Linked DNA regions of Drosophila melanogaster. The protein of the gene in region 1 interacts with the protein of each later gene in a pairwise test. Each region holds a gene or a part of one and is shown on either strand. Other genes may lie near its edges.

Evidence for each region.
Region 2: the proteins of psq (region 1) and lolal interact in a two-hybrid assay, tested with the Drosophila melanogaster proteins (one study listed by BioGRID).

The regions. Positions count from the first base shown.
Region 1 is NT_033778.4:10,553,559-10,562,992, forward strand, and holds the start of psq (pipsqueak), read left to right. Parts: upstream 1-4,329; 5' UTR 4,330-4,818; exon of another isoform or gene 4,819-4,975; intron 4,976-8,127; 5' UTR 8,128-8,246; coding exon 8,247-8,396; intron 8,397-8,467; coding exon 8,468-8,632; intron 8,633-9,434.
Region 2 is NT_033778.4:18,151,587-18,162,454, reverse strand, and holds lolal (lola like), read left to right. Parts: upstream 1-4,436; 5' UTR 4,437-4,513; exon of another isoform or gene 4,514-4,695; intron 4,696-5,562; exon of another isoform or gene 5,563-5,708; intron 5,709-6,075; exon of another isoform or gene 6,076-6,289; 5' UTR 6,290-6,461; coding exon 6,462-6,563; intron 6,564-6,963; coding exon 6,964-7,050; intron 7,051-7,112; coding exon 7,113-7,307; 3' UTR 7,308-8,360; downstream 8,361-10,868. Other genes in the region: Naus (nausicaa), read right to left, coding at 127-248, 317-503, 580-1,426; CG10914 (uncharacterized protein), read right to left, coding at 2,285-4,159; adp (adipose), read right to left, coding at 8,609-9,747, 9,814-10,561. UniProt on the Drosophila melanogaster protein: Required, together with Trl, for maintaining the repressed state of target genes including homeotic genes Scr and Ubx. May also be involved in the activation of homeotic genes. Binds to a DNA Polycomb response element (PRE) at the bithorax complex.

The DNA.
Region 1 (9,434 bases):
ATCTGTGCGGATTAGAATTGAAATCATTTAAAAATGCATGTATCTTATCTTATATCTTTACTAATTCTTGTTAAAATAATGAGCATAGCTACTGGTTGTTTTAATCAGCTCAAGCTTAATCATTAGTTCATTTGATCGTGCCTTATAACTATTTTCAAAATAATTAAATATTCTTCTGAAACATTTCCAAAAGTTTAAGCAAAATATAAAATTCATTTTTTTTAAACTGCAAGACTTTAATGATTTACAAACAAATACAACTCACTTTCCAACTCAAAACTTAAAGTTCGTAATAGCTGTAATCTCAGTTAGTAGTTGCAGCTGCAAGGTGCTATTCCATTGGCCACTACTGTACTTGCCTACGAACTTTTTATCTACGCGTGTGTGCATAAGTTAGTATGTGAAAAAAAAAGTTCTAGGGCAGGTTATAGTTTTAACTCTTTCACTTTTTTTTTTGCAAAAACCTCTAAAGTGAACATTAGATAATGAGCGCTGGAGCGACCACGAAAGAGATAGCGATAACAGCGAGAGAGACAGAAAGAGAGTGATAGAGACAGAGAGAGAGAGAGAGCTCGACTGATAAATCTAATGTTTGTCATGTGAAGCGAACCGCTTTTCAGGGCCTTGCAATTTTTATGCACTTATGACATGAAATTGCTTTGCACACACTCATAAAAGCTCTGCGACTCCCTCTCTCTCGCCTGCTCTCTCCTTTGCTCTCTCGGTTTTCGGCGGCGGGCGGTAGAAGGGTTGGCAAGGGGGGTGGCGACGGGGTGAGTGCATGCGCACCATTCAAGAAATGCATTGCACTTGTCGCCCAACACGCGCACTAATACAGCCACACATACACGCACACATGCACACACATTTTCTGCCCACAGACTTACATAAACTTTTCCATAGAAAAAAAATGTATAAACCTTCCAAATGACGTCAATCGCTCTGTAAATTGTGGCTTTTGTTAACTGGTTGTTGCTGCTGTTGTTGTTGCTTCCTTTCCATGCCAAAAACAGAAGTTTTTCGGCTTTTCGAGTGGGCTGTATGCTCATTGGCATCACTTTTATCTGTTTTGGGAGCCCAGTTTGTGGATCATCGACCGTGAAATCAGCGCTATTTATGTTTATTCGCTCCATCGATCTTTCACAACTCGAATTTTCACCCAAATGCTTAAAAATTTAAAAAATAAAACTGTTGATTTTCCCATTGAACATAATGTATTTATTCTTGTAACTTTAACATGATATAAAACATATTATTTTTTTTTTAATTTACTCACAACATTACAAAATTGAAATAGATACAATTGAATTTAACAGGAATAGAAAAGTGTTTAATATTGTTGATCATCAATTACATAAAACATTCCAGACCCATAATTCATACACATGAAAATGCAAATCTTCTATATTTAACTGTAATTTAAACTCGTTATCTATAGAAAATTGTTTAACAATGTCTCAATTGTCTTTGCGATTTATTTGTTTATTTGTTATGAGTACAACTTACAAGTATTCATTTCCTTAACTAAAGCCTCTTACTCAATGAACGCCAATAAATATTACTTTTACAAGTAAAAATATTATAAAGTTTATGATTTTTAAACACAAATTTCTTGTTTTTCTGGTGTAAACCTTAGAATATTACACCTTTTGCCAGTTGTAATTTAGAACCACTGGCGCCACCTGTGGGCCACACTTGTCTCTTTTTCAAAGCAGAGCAGAAGGGCAAAATGCTGACCTTAATATGCATTAATTGTTGCAGCAGAGCGATTCTAATGCGCTCACTCTCATTTTCCGACTCCCAATCGCTCTCTCTCTCTCTCTCGCCCCCTTTCTCTCGTTCTCTTTCTCCAGCGGGTTTCTTTCTCCGCTCCCCCACTCTGTGCATTTTCCATTTACGTGCTTTATGCTTTTTTTGGAGCAGCGCGCTGTTTCCATTTCGATCCCAATTACTGTTGTTGTTGTTGTTGTTGTGGCCTCTTTGTTGGTGTGGGGGATCTTTTGTTTTGTTTGTTTGTCCTTCTCTAATTGTGGAACCTGTGCGTGTGTGTGTTTTTAGAGATGGCACGTCAACGGGAATTTTGGTGGGTGGTGGGGGCATGTTAAATCAATACTGATTAACTGGGATTACATTGGGGAGCATTGAAACTCCCACTTTAATATGAATATTTATAGGAGCATTGAGTTTGCAGCTAAAGCTATGTATCTAAATTGCTCCAAAAAAGAAACCTTTGAAAACAATGAATGCATTCGAACATAAAATCAACTTAATATTCATATGAACCTATTGTATTTTTAGCTATTCTACACGTTAATTACACTACCTTATAAAATAGAACATAATCTTAAATTTAAAGTTTTGCTAATTTATGTATTTGTACAATGTACTTTCATATTTATGCCATTTATAGGAGATTTTTCCGCAATAAAATGATCACAGAAACTCTTAAAAGTTCTTCCTAAAAACTTATGAAATTCTTTGTTCCTGTGCAATTTAAGATATTTAGATTTAGATTTAGAGTTTGGGCAAAATGAATTCTAAATATTTGAAATTGTATATGGAAGGTATTCTATAATATTTTGGCATAAGTATATATATTTAGATTTGACCGATTAACTCAAATGATTCAGCCTCGTGACACGAAAAGTTCCACCCGCCACTCAATCCGCAGTGCAAGTAACTAAGCAAATGCGATATGTGTGTGCTTAAATGCATATAGCATGTTTATGGGTCTGCCGAATGGGGTTTTTCGAATGGAGTAGGGTGCGTTTGTGGGTTTTGTGGCGGGGGGAAAGGGGGGATGGGTATTTCGGTGGCCTATGTGCGCCTATAATTATAAGGCATATACACTATATACATATGTACATGGGCATAGCATAGCTGCGTGTTTTTCGTCGGGTAAATAGGTGCACACGTCAATTGCTGGAACGACCTCAATGGGTTCCCACTTCCAGGCCCCCCCTTCCACGGCCCACATTCGTTTGATTTTTCCGCACTGGAAAGTGGGAAAACCGGAGCAATTATTTCCCGATCCGATCATGCTACAATTATGTATGTTTAATTTTTTTTTTTTGCTGCTGATGTTGTGTTTCACTATTCACCATTCCATTGCCGTGGAGCTAGAACATGCAATTATTTTAATGTATTCGGCCTTGGGACTCATGAATGTCAATTGGCACGTAAGTTCTCCATTAGCTATTAGCTTTTACCCGCGGCTCCACGCATCCAAATGCAAATCTCTATATGTATATATAGATATGTACCTAAATGTGTACATACAAACTCATATGGTTTACGCTGCAAATCAGTCGTTTTGTATGCTAGCTTCGTTTTTTTTATGGTTTTTTATGGGGGCTAGGCGACTCCCACCCACTCGCACATATTTATACAAATTGAGACAGCGGAAAAAGTGCAACTCATTTGAATGGTTTCGCCTTCATTATGCAAATACGAGCACTGTTGGTGGCGAATATTTATTTGCTCATTATAAATACATAGAGTTTCTGGCATTTTAGCAATCATGACTTGCACGCACACGAGCATTAAACGAGTTTCTAAAATTCAGTGTAATGATCGAGTTTTATGGGACTATTGCATTCGAATTTGAACTGAGTGGGCGCCAACATATCGATAATATATAATGACAGTCGATATTTTCATAGCAACCAGCTTTCGCTGGGCTCGCTGCGCAACTAGGTGGCAGCTCTGAAATGTATATTACATGTAAGAAATCCTTTTACAAACTCAATAAATAATAATAAATGCTTGAAATAAATGTATATTTCAATACTTCTAAAGCATTTTATATATTATGTTTTTATTGGTATTACGGAAAACCTCCAACTTTCAATTTTAAAGCATTATATTTATAAATAAAATAATTCTACAAGCAAAAAAACTCATTTAATCCTGGAAGCACTTATGGATTTCACATTATAAAAGAACTGATTAAATGTATGAAGATACATCATTTTATTAACGTACATTTTGTAATATTTAATTTTTTGAATTTTCAGTTTCTGCGCGCCCATATCAAAGTCCGTAGCAAAAAAATCAATATAGGAAATGCAATAGGTGCAAGCGGGACGACCAGCTGAATCGAGCGGCGAAGCAAAGAAGACCCGATAAGGCGATGCCACCTAGTTAGAAACTAATAAGTAGTTGCATAAATAATACAGTTTTTTACACAATAGAAAATCCAAATGAGTTCTCACTCAATTTTAAAGCAAGTTATCTACTATTTGGAAACACTACCCAAGTAGTTTTCAGCCTTTGAGCACCTTTTGCTACATTTTAGCACCTTGCGGCGATCTGGCAGCGCCACACGAAAATGGCGAACACGAGCACTCCGATGAACGACGAGCTGAAAAAATAATTATTATTTTAAATTCCGTTTTGCCAGCGAAATTCGGTGCGTGCGCGAAAAAGAGTGCGGAAAAGCGCGGTTGAGAAATTTAATCGGCCCATTATGAAGCGGTCAAAGTGCGGCGCCAATGCAAATGGTTAGCCAAATGGCAAGAAATATGTAGCGATAGCGTGCCAGCCCAGTAAAATCAAATAGAATCAAATTTAAGTTTCTTGCTTTGCGAATTATGAAAAACCAATCGCAATGCGTGTGTGTGTGTGTACGTGTGGTGCGTGCGCGCGTGTGTTAGTGAGCGAGCGTAGAAGCAGAAGGCGTAGCGAGAAATAAAAATAAAAAACCATACAATAATTGATTTAAAAAAAAGAAAAGCAAAAAGGCCAACAAACGAAAAACAGCAGAAGCAACAAAAACACACGACAAGCGGCAGCAAAAACAACAACACAAAACTGGCGGTAAATACGCATACAGTACGATACAAAAAAATAAACTAGAAGCAACAACAAATACGCAACGTAACGGGAACTCTTTGACGTATTTCCTCTATTATTATGCAAAAAGGCAGGCGGCAAATTGCAGCAGCAGCGAAAATCAAATATAAATAGCGAAAAGGTAAGGACAGAGGCCCCACAAACTAAACTAAAAATAAGAGCCGAACATATTTGTTGTTTGCAGAGTGCAGTAAAATGGGTGCAAATAAATGGGCAAAAGAAAGAAGCAACAAAATACTGCAAACCTTTCAATTGGCTTCAATTGGCAAATGTAATTGTTCAGCATTACATTTGCATTACACCGCTCACCAACTCTTGCTCCCTCTCACTCTCTCTCTCACTGTGTTCTCCGCTTTTGCGCTCCCTTTGCCCCTTTTACTTTGCAAAGTTTTGCGACGAACAAGAACAATAATAATCAAAACAAAAATGTTTAAAATCCATTTTCTTTCGCCTCTCCTTCACCCACTCACTCATTTCGTAGCGCGCTGTCATTTGTCTTGCGCCTTTGCCTCCCCCCCTCTTCTTCTTCTTCTTCTACTTTACGTTGTCCCCTTCTTCTCTCTCTCCCCGCAACATTGCCGTCTCGCTCGCTCGCATGCACACCATGCACGGGTGAAGAGGAGACGTAACGAAAACGAAGTTGGTTTGCCTGGAATGCCACAGTGGGTACAAAAGGGTTTGATAGTGGTCACAGTCGACACAGTGGGGTGGGTATTTCATTATTCTGCAACAGAAACTCTTGTTATTCTTATTAAGTCAAGCAAAACTAGCAAAAATAAACATTTCTAGCCGGCTAAAAAAAAACTCAAAATCCAATCCAAAATCCAATAAATATTTAGTACAAAGTGCAAGATTGCTAATAAAATAAACCAAAAGTATAGCACTTACTTTTTGTAGGAGATGAAGGTTGTTAAAAGCATTCATATATAATTAATACGAATAAATTTATTTTATTTAAGTTCTAAATTATACGTACTTATCATTTTATATAAAGATTTACATTGCCTTATGCAGTGATGTTACAATCATCAATGTAGATCTTATAAGAATCAATAGGCCGTCCGTAGGTCGGGTAGGGTGTAGAAACATAAAGTGCAGTGAGGAAATATTAAAGGGCAAGAAAAAGTGAAAAAGCAATAGCACAAACATACAAAAAACACGAACACACATTATCCATTTGCCAAATAAACATGCACAAAGTAAGAGAAAGACGGGGAAAATGCAGAAGAAGAGGCTCCAAAAGGCGGCAAATCGCTGCATGTGTGTGTGTGAGCGAGAAGGCAACAATGGGACGAACAATATAAAAAAAAAAAAACGTGGAATTGGTCTAGTAATGTAAGAAGAAGAGCAGTAACAACGCGGACGAACGGACCGCATAATGCGCGTTTAATGATAAGTCTCTCTGTCCGAAACGAAGAGAGAGACATGGAGAGAGCGCGGCTGAGAGGCCCGCCGATTTTCGAGTGGGTGGCAACACCTAGTCTTCCTCTTTCTTTCACACCTTTTCTTGCCGCCGTTTTGTTTTGATTGCGAGTCTTCTGCGAAATGAAATGCAAATACAGTGGAGCAGCCTTAAGCTCGTAAACTTTTACATATACAATAAATGCAAATAATTTAAAATAAAACAAGTTTGGAAAATGCAACTATAAATTTTCTTATTATTTTTCTTAATTTGACTTCGAAATTTGTAAACAAAGATAGATTTCGAATAAATCAAATCAAAAACATCTCTTTGAGTATCCACTGTGGCAACTGTAACTTTGTAATAAAGAAATCCCTTGAAAATCTGACTTATTGTTCGGCATAAAATTGTGGTTGCATTTTAGCCTCCGCATTGGAAGTTGCAAGCAAAAGTTGGCATCTCCTCTCTGTCCGCCTCTTCGTCGCTCCATTGCCTCCCATTTTATTTGCACGGCAAGTTGCCTCCTCGAGCATCCTTTCAGCATTCCTATTATTCTTTTTTATGTTCCTTCCTTTTTTTTTTTGACAATGCCCCAACTAGCAAAAACAACTTGCAGGCACCAATACGTGCCATTGAAAACGAGAAAGGGAATTTAATCCGAAAAACACTGATTTCAGATACTCTAACTGCTACTTGGGGATTTTGTTTGAATGTTAATTAATTTAAAAACTAGTAGTAAATGGAAAAATGTAGTGTAAAAAGAGCGTTTTATTTGAAAATACCATTTATTTTGTTGTAAACATGTGACCATACTATGATACCCTTTTAAAAGGGCATACAAAAATGAAGTTTCACTGAAAACTGGTTTCAGTTTCGGTTTTCTTCCTTCTGGCCTGGCCCAACATTTTACATGAAAATGTGCAAAACAAAACCATTCCGGCGGTGCTAAAAACCACGCGACATGACCAGCACTAAATAAAGTTAAAATAGTAACTATTCGTTGAGCTCATAAGCTTTAAAAAAAAAGGTAACTTATGTTCGAAAATAAAACAAAATAAATTAGCTTGAATGGAATGTTCATTCATATACAAGTAATTTTGATTCTCTTCGGTAATCATATTCATTGGATTATTTTTACTCTAAACAGATTGGGAAAGCATACTAAATTGTTTTTGGTGGGTTAAACTTAAGTTAAATAGGCTGCTACAGAAAACCTTCTAGGGATAGAAACTAATAAGTTTGTTTTGAAAATCAGGACTTCAAATGCATTAGCATATTGTGATCTAAATCTCTTGAAAGTGCTAAAGTCTCGGTTCAAAAGTAATTAAAAATTGTTCTTCAATTCATACGAACTTGAATGAAAACGTTTTTAGTTTTATTATTCTTATAGAGTTATCAAAATAGAGAGTTGAAGGGAACTTAATACTTCAAGAACTTAAAAACTATTTTTATGTTAGCTGTTCAGGGTGCTACAATCGTTAATTACCATATTTCCCATAGGGCATTTACAATTCGACCTGCATAGCCTGATAGCCATTGACTATTCCTCCTACCTGTCTTCGGCATAGTTTATCCACCCCCCACCCCCCTGCCCGCCACCTCCCACTTTGCGTCTTATTCCCTGTAACTCGTTGTAAGGCGCTGTAAGGCTCTCGAACACAATGGACCGACTGGCTGCAACTCCTTTTGTGGCATCTTCAACATGTGGTTGGTGGTGGTTCAGTTGCATCGGGAACGGCAATTCGCCAAGAACTCAGATAGGAGGATGCAGCCAGTTGTCCTTAAAGTCTCTGTATTGATTGATGATTTGCCATTGCAACTCCTCGAGTGAACCGCATTAAATTGATGATTTTCTTCGGCTTTTCCCGCAGTATACTGGAGTATACACACATTTCCGCAGCGTGTTGAGCACGCCACAAGCATAAACAAAAGTGAGCAACAGGAATTCAGCTAGGATTCGGCGTGAAACGAATACGAAAAACCATACGAAATGGCAGCGGTTCGAGGACATCAGTATTTCAGTCTGCGCTGGAATAACTACCAGAACACGATGACGTCCGTGTTTCAGCAGCTGCGCGAGGATCTCTCCTTTGTGGACGTCACTCTGTCCTGCGAGCATGGATCCCTCAAGGCGCACAAGGTGAAGTATCTCGATATATGTATCTACACTATAGTTATGAAGCTAATCAAACTTTTGTTCAAAAACTCCAGGTCGTCCTGTCCGCCTGTTCGACGTATTTCCAAAAACTACTGCTCGAGAATCCGTGCAAACATCCCACAATTATCCTTCCCGCCGACATTATCTTCACCGACCTGAAAACGATCATCGATTTTGTTTATCGTGGTGAAATCGACGTCACCGAATCGGAATTACAGGTGAGTCGATATACTAGTTGTTAGTTTTTGCAGGTGATTCTAAAATAGATTTATCATTGTAAGAACGATATAATAGAGAATATATATAGAAATACAAAGGAATTTCATCTGAAATCGGAAGTATCTGATGTACGAGTATAATTATCTAGATTTTCATGTTTATATTTTATCATATCTTTCCAAATGTGTTGCCATAAAATGGGTTTAATTAGGCGGAAGTATTTATTTATATATTTCTCGCAATTGAAAGGTGTCGATATGTGAATGTTTCTGTTTTGCGGATAAGTTAACTGTATTATGAGACTATTTTTGAAATCTTTATTCCTATCTCTAATACCCGTTAATCTTTATATTTCGTAAAAACCCGAATGAAATGAAAATACACGATTATGAATAGGCGTAAAATCGAGCATATCTAGATTTATATATCATTTGGATATAATTCTATTTACTAAACAACTGTGCTACAATAAATGGGCTATTCTACCGAAACGAGAAAGTTCTAACGTTCAAATTCCAGTGGCCATCAGCTATGAAATACACTGCACCCACAATTACCACCTGCTAATCGGTTTGTCAACAAAACAAAATAACATCGAAATAGCCCGACCACAAAAGTGGTTCTTTTTTAAATTGAACGCACAAATATGAAGGGGGAGAGCAGTAGTAATAGTATGTGCACAATTGCTTTCAGGGTCGTTCTTATCTGGGCAGAGCTACAACCCCCCTCCCCTCCCCTCCCCCCACTTCCTCGGAAAACCCCTTCTCTACAAGCTTCCACTTTTCTCCTGCATTTATCTGA
Region 2 (10,868 bases), 7.6 Mb from region 1:
TCGAAAAAAAAGTAATATATATATATAGAGTTAAAGTTTGTATATAGAAAATTATAAGGAGGGCAACCATATGTATAATTACAACAGCCAGTTTCCAGGTGGAATTGCCTTGTCTGGCTAACTCACCGCTGAACTGTCGCGCCTTGGCGGCGGCCACGGATGAGCCGCTGCCACCCAGTTGCTGCTGCTTTTTCAGAGCCTCGTGCTCGCTCCGTAGGGCGTTGAGTTCCTGCTCCAGCTCCTTGACCCTGAAAAATAGACGTAGAAGATGATATAGTTTGTTCATTCGAACGTAACGACTGGCGTCGTGACGAACCGGAGTTCCTCCTTGGCTAGTTTGGCAAACAGGACTTTACGCTCCTGCTCCATGGCATGCGTTTGCTTCTCCAGTTCCTCCTCCATGCGCAGCGACTTTTTGCTCTCCTCCTCGAGACCCTCGGCAATGGTATCCGAGCGCTGCTTCTCCTCGGCCAGAATTTGGGCCAGATCCTCCGATCGTTTCCCTGTATAATCCCATAGATATTATTGTATGAGCAAAGTGGATATCTTCATATCTTATCTTCATACGGTCATACGCACCCTCTTCAATATACTTCATGAGGATCTTTTTGCGCTCCGCAATCAACAGCAGCACAATCTGCTTTTGTCGATTGCGCTCGTACTCGAGCGTCTCCTGCAGCTTCTTCAGATCCTTCTCCATTTTGGCCACCTGAGCGCGCTCCTCCTCTAGGTCCTGCTTCAGCTTGTTGCGCTCCAATTCCAGGCCGTAGGTGATGTCGTCACCCTGAGCCGTGGTGTTCTCGTGCTTGCGCTTCTCCTCCTCCAGCTCCTGGAGCATACGCTGATTGTTTTCCAGCGATTCGGTCAATATGTTGACCATACGCACATGCGTGGCCCTCTGCTTGCTAACCATCTGATACTGCTGCTCCATTTGCTGCTCAATGATCTGGCGCACCTCCATCTCCGCTTGCGCCGCCTGCGTAGACGATTCCCTTGATATCAGATTGCCATTGAGTGCGATCTTGTCCCGGAATATGGCCGCATACGGATCGTTCGGCTGCAGTCGCTTGGTGCGCAGCTGTGCAATGAGCTGCTTTACCCGCTCGTTCCTCAGGGCGGCTATGCAGACATCCCGTGCCTGCAGCTCGCCCTCCAGGTAGTACAGCATCTTCACCAGCTCGCTGTGCGGCATCTCGGAGCGCGTGCGTCCGTTGGTTGCGGTAGCACTGCTGGCGCTATTTGCCACCGGCATCACCTTGTGCACCACACCGGGACCCGGTTTCATGGTCTGGAACTCGTGGTTGGCGCTCACGGTGTCGCCGACCGACATTCCGGATCCGGAACAGTTCTCAGTGCCGTAATCCGCGTCCGTCGCTGGTGCCTCCGCAAACGTATCCGCAACGCTGCTGTTCGAGTTCTGCTCCATTGCCGCCGACTCTTTCGTGTGGCTCCCGTCCCGATATCCAATGCCCAATTCCCGATTCCGGATTCCGAACTCCCGATCTCCACCTCCGCTCAGCTCACGGCATACAAAAAAAAAAGTTTGGTGCGTCGCAGTTCGCAAATTACACGGTATGCAAGCTCTCTGCAATATTTAACTTCTGGCCCGGACTCTGTTTAAGCCCGCTTTCAAGGCAAGTGGCTTTGCGCAAGCAGCAATCGCCACAGGAAATTATCTTACAATTTCTTTGTCAATTTGTTGCCCGTGAAAAAGTGGATACTTGCGGCAGTGCTGCCGATTCAGCTTTATTCCCGTCAGATCTGGCTTAGTCGCAGGATAGTGCTGCGCATGGCGGGAAGATAAGAACATAAACGTCTGTTTTTTAATTAGTCAGCATTTTCTTAAATATCCAAACGCACTTTATTTGAGTTATATTTTTACACTCTTTACTATACTGTTAAGTTAAGCTTATTGTATCTAAAGGTGCTATGTTCATGATATCCAAAATCCATGTAGCCATAAACAGCTTTTATCTTTTATTAAAAAACGGCAGCACCGATTATGTACGCTGCGCTGCCAACTCGCTTTAAAAAAGAGTAGCGAGTAGCCAGTGTTGCAAAGCACGTTAAGCAAGGGTCTGCTTTTTGGCGCCGTTACGGGTTTTGAAACTATATTTAAATTTATAAGTTCATAAATATAATATATAATAGCACAAACTTTATTATAAAAATCGGGGTATGCTGAAAATAACTAAAGCGGTGCAAATTGCTTTAGTTTGGTAGAATATATTATTAAGTAATTTAAACAATTGTATTTATTTACAATTTATAAACAATTTGTTTTTTATTTTTTGTAAACAAAGGGCTTGGCGGTGTTGTAGGCCAGGGAATACCTTATGTGCTTGCCAACCAATCGATCGGCTAAAGGTATTAAAGCCGGTTCACGTCTGTAAATCCCTGCCGCCTTTGGTGTCCAGGCCCGTAGACGACACTCCGAGTGGCCCGGCAGCAGGATTCCCATCCAGCCCGCAGAGCTGAGCGTAATATCACAGTTAAGCCTCGTTTCCTCGTTCCTTCCTTCACTTGCCAGCACAATATCCCCATCCTTGCATTGCAATCCCGGCCAGCGTCGCAGGCGGGCCTCCAAGTTCTCGCTAGCGAAGGGAACACCCAGAAAGGGCGAACCCACGTATCTTTTGTACACGCTTTCCGCCTCCTGTGTATCTGCTATCATGATGGGAAGATGCTCTGAGGCAAATACAAACACCTTCAGCCAGTCAAAGTGTTTCCTTGGGCTTGTTATTTCCAGCAGATCCAATCTGGCCAAACCGCCCAGTAGTATGCTCATCTGGGGCCGCAGCCGAAAGGCGCGCGGTCGGATCATGGTGGCGGGCTGCAGCTTTACCAGCTCCTCGGCGGTGAGCAGGGGAGATATTTGGTCGGGTTGCATCACACCCGGTGTGTCGTAGACCCAACGCGCTTCCTTGTACTCCTTGCCCCGATCGTTTAGCGTTGTAATCGGTCGCGAGCCACCGGCCATGGCAAAGGCATCATGGAGATTTTCGCGTCGATCGAAGGTGCGTCCAACCGGAGCCACTGGTTGAGCAGCTGCCGCTGAACCCGTTTCCCTTGCCACTGCGCGACGCTCCTTTTCCATTTCCGCCTTCTCGCTGCGCTCCGAAACCAATCTCTTAAAGCGCTGATAGACTCGATCGTTCGATGGACGCAAGATTGGAAACCGCAGCAGTTTGAGTGTGGTGCCCGGCCACGGACAGGTGGTGGCCTTGCGCACCAGGTCACTGGCCTCCGGCCGGCAGTAGTCCGAGTTAAGCAGAATGTTGAACAGCGAGCTCTTGCCCACATTGGTGCAGCCCACCAGATAGACATCGCCTTTGTAGGCCCACGTTTTGTGCAGCTGCGTTATTAGCTCCTCGATGCCATAGCCCGTTTTGGCGGATATCAAACTGACATTCTTGATATTTAGACCATTTCCACCGCCATGCTTGATGAACTCGCGCTGCAGAGAATCCTTAATATGCTGAAGATAGATGTTGGAGTCGCGCGGCAGCAGATCGACCTTGTTGCCCACCAGGAAGACGGGTCGCTTTGCGCCCAATATGTTTTGCATGCCCGGCCAAATGGAGCAGGGAAAATCGAGAAGGTCCACCAGAACAATAGCCAGTGCAAATTTGTCTTGAATGCGGGATATGGTGTCCACATAGGTCGATGGGGCCACCACCACATCCAATGCGATGTTGTAGTGGTTCAGAAAGTGACAACGCTTGCAGGTGATCGTTTGCAGTTCCTGCTGCGTCCTATCCCTGAATATTTCACTTGGTATATAGCCTGGCAGGGAGGCATTCGTGCAATGAAGGTCTGCGCCGCAGCCGTTGCATGGAACCTTTGAGGCGGGTAACGAAGGATCCGGTGTGCCCTGCTTATTCCCTCCCTCCTGGGCGCCCTGATAGAACTCGTAGTCGTCCATCCAGTCGTCGGGCAAATGCTGTTGTGTCTCAGGAATCGAGAAAGAGGGTTTTATTTTGGTCTCCAGAACAGAGCTGTAATGAACGTGCTCATGATCCTTGTACCGCTCTCTGGCGAGCAGCCACGCCCTCTGCCGAAAGCTCTGTCCCACTTCAGCGGCGGTATTCTGCCGCCTCGAACATGTGATAACCACATTTTTATTTATAATTTTATATAAACGTGTGGTTTTAAACATTTTGCAATGCCCACAAGAATTCTCACAGTGTCAGACTAAAGCCGTTTGCTACGAAACCATTTACATAGTCAGGGCTGCTAGCCGATAGATCTGAACGATTGTTATATTATTTGGCGTACAAAATAACAAGCATCAATTCAAGCAATGCTTTTTGTGTTATAAATCGAATAAAAGATATTTCAGTACATTAATTTGTGTTCATTAACTGGAAAAAAACAAAACGCATCGAAATTAGGCCGATTCATATCGAACAATCACGAGTGTATCGAAAATCGAAATCGGTGAAAGAGAAAAAAGAAAGCAGCGTTAGCGAGAAAGCAGAGGTGAGTTAAGTGCGGGACAAAAAAAAAGCGTGTATGTATTAAAATTGAAACAAAAAGATATAGAAAAAGCGTGTCCACGGCGCAATTAGCGTGCTCCTGCGGCGGTCGGCAGGCGATATACGCATTGGTAAAAGTACAGAGTACACGCCGAGTAAAAAGCAGCAGCGCACAACAAATAAAATGATTAGGAAAGTGTGTGGAAAAAAGACAAGTGTATGTGAACGGCGATTGTATGTGTGCGTGACGTGACTGTATGCGTGCTGCTGCTGCGTGTATATGAAATAAAAAGTAACGCGAAGCGCGACCTAATTTTAACCAAATATTACAATAATATTTGCATAAACAAAGGCGGCTCGGTTAATGTGACGCCAGGCATTTTGGTGGTTCCTGCGGCTTTCCACGAACGTTTGCCGACGCCATTGTCTGACCAAAAACAAAAGAAAAGAATTGAAATAGAATAAATCTCAGACGAGCACACTATTCCGTCGAGTGTAGAGTTCTTCCCGATTGAGTAATGCAATAACAACAAACGGAGCTGCTCAAATTGTTGAGAGTGTTGCAACTTTCGTTGGAACTCGTTTTGAACCGTTGTTGTTGTTGTTGTTGTTGATTTTGTCGCTCGCATCGCTCACTCACTTACTCACCGACTCACTCGCTCCTTTCCATTCTCCTGATGTTACCAAAACTGGTCTTCAAGAAGCAACAATGCAGTTTCTTGACGGGGAAGGGGAAAAATCAATAGTTCGGAAATTAGACAACTTTCAACATCCATGATTCAACGAAATGCACTCAGCCTAGAAGAAGCTACCGATAACCCCGGGCGCAAGAGCAAGCGAGATAGTTGCCGCCGCCTACCCACACTCGCACACAGCCACACACTTACACTTATGCAGCTGAATTTCCAGCGATGTCTGCTCTGCCTTTTAAGTTGTTGTTGTTGTAATGTAATTGCGAAATCATAACGGCAGTTGAAAGTTGAGAGCGCTTAGCGAAAGAGAACGAGGGACACAGAGAGCGTGAGACTAAAGTTTAAGCTCTGGCGGCAAACTATATGCCCTGCTCTCCCCCGCCCACGCAGAAACATACAGCCGGCTGCCAGTGTAGCGCATATGAGAGTCGCATCAACAACAACGCTATTTCCTCAAGAAGAAAAACACATGTTGGCCGCACAGTGGGATGGAGTGGGAGTGAAATTAAGACAAAGTCACTGAATGGAAGTGCGAATGGTGCCGCCATCTTGGTTCTTTTTTGGTCAAAAATCACGGAATGAATGCTATTTAACTGGAGTGCGCCTAAAAATACATTGCCATCGGCAGCTGCAGCGTGCATCGCGTGCAACAGACTAATTCCGCGTTCTAAGCCACTGTGCCGCATACGAATTCAAATAAGCAATAAGTACACATGTGTGTACGACTGAAAATGCAGAAATTGCCTTGAAAAGTGAAAGGCATTCAACAGAGCGAGCCAGCGACGATTTGATATTTTTGCCTCTTTGCTTAACCTTTGCTGGCAGCTGTTTGCTGTTTTTATTTAGCGCTGTCTCAGCACTTTGACATTTTCCAGCTCACTCACACATGTACAGAGTAACAACGCTGTGCATTCCGAACTCCCATTTCCCACTGCACAAACGCTGCACATGCGCCGCAGCACATTTATATTTGCAGAATACTTTTGGCCAAGAGACGTGCTGTTTTGCAATGCTCTCGTAACGTTCACTGCTAATTTCGCCAAGCTGTTGTTTGTTTGTCTTACTCTGCCTTGCCGTTACCGTTCGTTCACTAATGCTGTCTGTTTACTTCTCTTGCAGAGTGCGTCAAAGAAAACCCAAGCGAAAACCCACGGATTAAGCGGTCCGCTGCGAATTAAGACCATCTAACGGTGAACCTTTCGGTCACTAGTCCAAATTAAGCCTCCTGCCCACCCCCCTCCCAGCATTCTGTTCAGCGAGCGCGACGCCCCCACAAAACAAAAGCTTCTTCATGATGTCGTCGGATCAACAGTTCTTTCTAAAATGGAACGATTTTCAAACGAATATGGTGACCTCGTTCCGTCACCTGCGCGACGAGAAGAGCTTCACAGATGTGAGTAACCAAATGAAACTTTCCAGAAGCGGCGATGGAAAAACTATTGCAGTCGAACTATTAGTTAGAATGATGATATTAGATGTCAATATATTTTGAAGTTACTTATAAATTCAGTCAAAATCAAGCCATAGAAGTTCGACTGTAGTTAACCAGTCCCAGGGGCGCGCTGAGGTTTATTATGCTACTCTTGGCCCGATTGGCTCGCGGCCGCCCCTTGTGGAGGGTCAGTCACCGGCTGAGCTCAGTTGGTCTGAGTAGCAGATACCTGGCCCTCACGCTATTTTCAATTCGTTTTTCTTTTACCTGTGTTCGTTCTTCGCTCTGCGTTTTTGTTCAATTTGTTGCGGTGAAAATGCCTGGCGGATCTTACTGATTTCCCAATGCTTATTGTTCACAGGTAACACTCGCCTGCGAGGGCCAAACCTGCAAAGCCCACAAAATGGTGCTTTCCGCTTGCAGTCCCTACTTTAAAGCGCTACTGGAGGTGAGTTTTTCACGCGGTAATAACTAAGCAATCGTTTGATAATGTAATGTATGCACCCGCAGGAGAACCCATCGAAGCATCCGATCATTATCCTGAAAGATGTCTCCTACATTCACCTACAGGCTATACTGGAGTTCATGTACGCCGGTGAGGTGAACGTGTCCCAGGAACAATTGCCAGCATTTCTTAAGACCGCCGATCGCCTCAAAGTGAAAGGCCTCGCAGAGACACCCAGTTCGATAAAGCGGGAAGGTTGATGGTATTAAACAATAATCGAAACAAAAAATACATAATAAATAACAACAACCAACTATAAGAAACTTATATGTACGCAAGAAAACAAAATTCCAACCAGCGGCAAAAGAAACAACATTACGAGAACGACATTTGGTATACAAATTCATATAAGAGTGCACGAGGAGGATGAAGAACGCCAACAAATGACCACACAAAGCTAAAGCTGGACAGATTGAAATGATTAGCCTGTAAAGTAGAGGTGGAGGCCAAATCCGCCCGCCCACTCCCACACCCGCTCATTCACATCTGATCAACCAAATTGCAAAAAAAAAAAAAACAACACTTACCGACAACCCCACAGAACTCGATTTGAATTCTTTTTGTTTAATTTCTGCATAAAATAGTTTGTAATATATTATTAACAATACAAACCACTCTGTATAAATAAAACGATATGGACAGCAGCCCCTAAAGCAAAACAAAACATAACGAAACGAAACAAAACAAAAAACGCACTTTTGTAAAGTAATTAAAGAAGATCCATTTAAAATATATAAAGATAATTATAAATATAGTGTGAAATGTGCAAGTAGATGGAAAAAGCCACGACGGGCGCGAATATTACAACACATTCGGTTAGTTTTTAAGCCACTAACTACAACCCCAGACATGCCACGCCTCCAGACAGACAAACTCATTTTCATCTATATTTAAACAATAAAATAGAAACAAATGCAAAATTGTACTTCAATTAATTGTGTGTGGACAAGCGCGTTTTTCCCCAACTTCTGATCATACGCGAGATACATACATATATTGTATTAATAACAAAACGAAGAAAAGGTGTTTCAGTGCGAAGCTAGCAGTTCTACACAGTTTAAACAAAAGAGTAAGGAAATACGTTAGAATGAAAAATACAACTTGAGTAAAAACTATACTTGAATATTATTACATAAAGTAAAATATTTATATGTATGTATATGTATACATGTGAGCATAGATTTAAAGAAACTACGGTAAATAAACAGAATAATTAAAACAAAAAAAAAAAAAAAACAAATGCAAATCATCCTGAGCTTTTCATTAAATTACGATTCGAAAACCGGTCGATTTGCATGTCTGCATTTATTTTAATAGTCTTTCATAACATCCTTCATAAGCTTCGTACTTTGTATACAGAGTAATTCGTTTACAAATTAACAAAAATATGTTCGCTTAGCTTAAATTACACTAATATTTGATATATTGCCGATTGGATCTCGCTTGCTGTTGCACATGCATGCAGCCAATATAGATCAAGATGCACAATAAGCCACAGTTCCTAATTATTGAAACAGTACGCATTGCGCGTGTGCAGTTCGAATGGATCGAGGCGCATCTTCTCCTGGTTATCCTCAACGAAACGCGTCACATCCGCCACGAGATTGGGTCGCTCCTCGGCGCTGGCGGCGCACGGCGACCAGATCTTAATGTTATGGTCAATGCCACTGGTGGCCAGCATGCAGATGCTCGGATGCGGCTGCACGCAATTCACGATGGCACTGTCCGCCCGATAAACGGCGCGTATCTTGCCCGTGTCTCCCTCCCAAATGTACATGTTGCCGTCATCCGAACCAGCGGCTATGAACTCGCCCTGGCTGCCCAAATAGTTGGCCTCCTTTATGTCCGTCGTGACGTTGCAGTGGCCCACATAGCGTTGCATATAGTCGCGTGCCGTGGAACGGAGATCATATTCGGCGTTCTTCAGACGCAGGTAGCGGAAGCCATCATCCACTTCCACCGGCTGTAGCTCGGGTGCCTCGGGGCTCTTTGACTGTCGTCGATTCTCCTTGATGTCCTTGTTCAGCATGAGCACGCCGTGATTGTTGGCGAAGTCGGGGAAACGCTGAATTAGTGCCTGCAAGCACTGATCCGCATCCTGGGGTCGATGCAGCTCAAGCAATGCCCTGGCCAGCCGAAAGTGGGCCTTCACATAACTGGGATCCAGACGCAGGGCCTCGTGGCAGTCCCTAAGTGCCGCATATATATCACCAAACCAGCCGCGTCGCATTAGAGCCGTCGCTCTGTTCAGATAGAGGACCTCTCCTTGTGGATATTTCGCCAAAGCCGCTGAGTAAGCATCAATTGCATCTACAAGTTTGCCGTTCTCAAGAAAGTCATTGCCCTCCTTCTTATACACCTCTATTTCGGTTGGCAGCGAGCGACTTCTGTGTGGCATCTTCACCGGCTCCTCCTCGTGAACGAGTGTTGATGTGAAGGCGGGCAGATCGTAGAAAACCGGAGGCTCAGCGTGATTCAGATCAAAGCGGTAGACGTGCTCGCAGCCTATGTTGACCAAAAGCTCTGTGCCATTGCCATTGAACGTAAGATAAGTGATTCCCCGTGGCTCGTGGACAATGTTCCGGCTGATGTTTTTCACGATCTGTCCGGGTGCATAGTACGCCACGCAGGCAGAGAGACCTTAAAGGGATAAGAGTTCAATATGCATATGTATGAGCTGCAGCGCCTACAAATTCAAGTACTCACCATTGCCGTTGGTGGAGGGCAGCTTGCGGCGATCGTACACCCGGGCAAAGGGATCGTTGGTGCCCACGGCCAGGTATTCCGTCCTTCGGGGATTTATAGCCAGACATTTGGCCTCTGTGTTCTCCAACTGATCGTGCAGGTTCAAGAGCCTGACACCAATACCTTCCTCGGGACGGCAGCGATGTGGCTCACGTATATCTAGCTGCAGGATGCAACCATCCTCTCCCGCCGACCAAAAGACGTGCGGCGAGTCCTGGGCGGTGGCCAAGCGCTTCGCCCGAGAAAAATGGCAAATGCAAGAAAAAAGGGTCTCGTTCGGGTCGTTGATGTCGTAGACGTAGATGAACTTATCCGCTGCACACGTAGCCACAATGCTGTTGTTGGTCTTGGGCAGAAATTTTACAGAGAACACATTGCCCAGATGCTTGGTCCTGATGACATGAACAAGCTTCTTTCGGAACGGATCCCAGATCATCACACGATAGTCGTCGGATCCGGAGGCCAGCCACATACCATCAGTGGTCCACTCCAGACAGTTGACGCAGCCCTCGTGACCGACGAGCACTGCCTCCTGCTCCAGCCTGTCCACGTAGGCCGGCGATGCCAGCAGACGTCGCCGGAGCATCTCGTCCAGCTCATGACCGTATTGCTGGCGCTGCCAATGCAAGGAGCTGGCGTTCAAGGGCGTGTGCTGGCGCTGATAGCGCGAACTAGAGTACTTTACGCGATACAGTTCATCGCTCGACATTATCTCCGACTGCTGTGGATAGGATTATGACACTTGTTTCCGTTTGTTTTCGTCTCGTTCTCCGTTTAATTCATTTTGCATTCGCTGATTTCCCCTGCCCCGCTTCGCCCCCCTTCCATCAACAACTTTGCTGTTGTTGACACCTGTGCGCGGCGTTGCCAGGCCAGCGCGTATCGCCGTAACGGTTTGCGTTAGCTTACGGGATCGAACAACCAAATTTCAGTTATGGAAAAAGTATTTCTTTTTTTAAACACCCGAGAAGTGAAAGATTAAGTAGAGTCTAGCACACAACTGACTTAAACCGCCT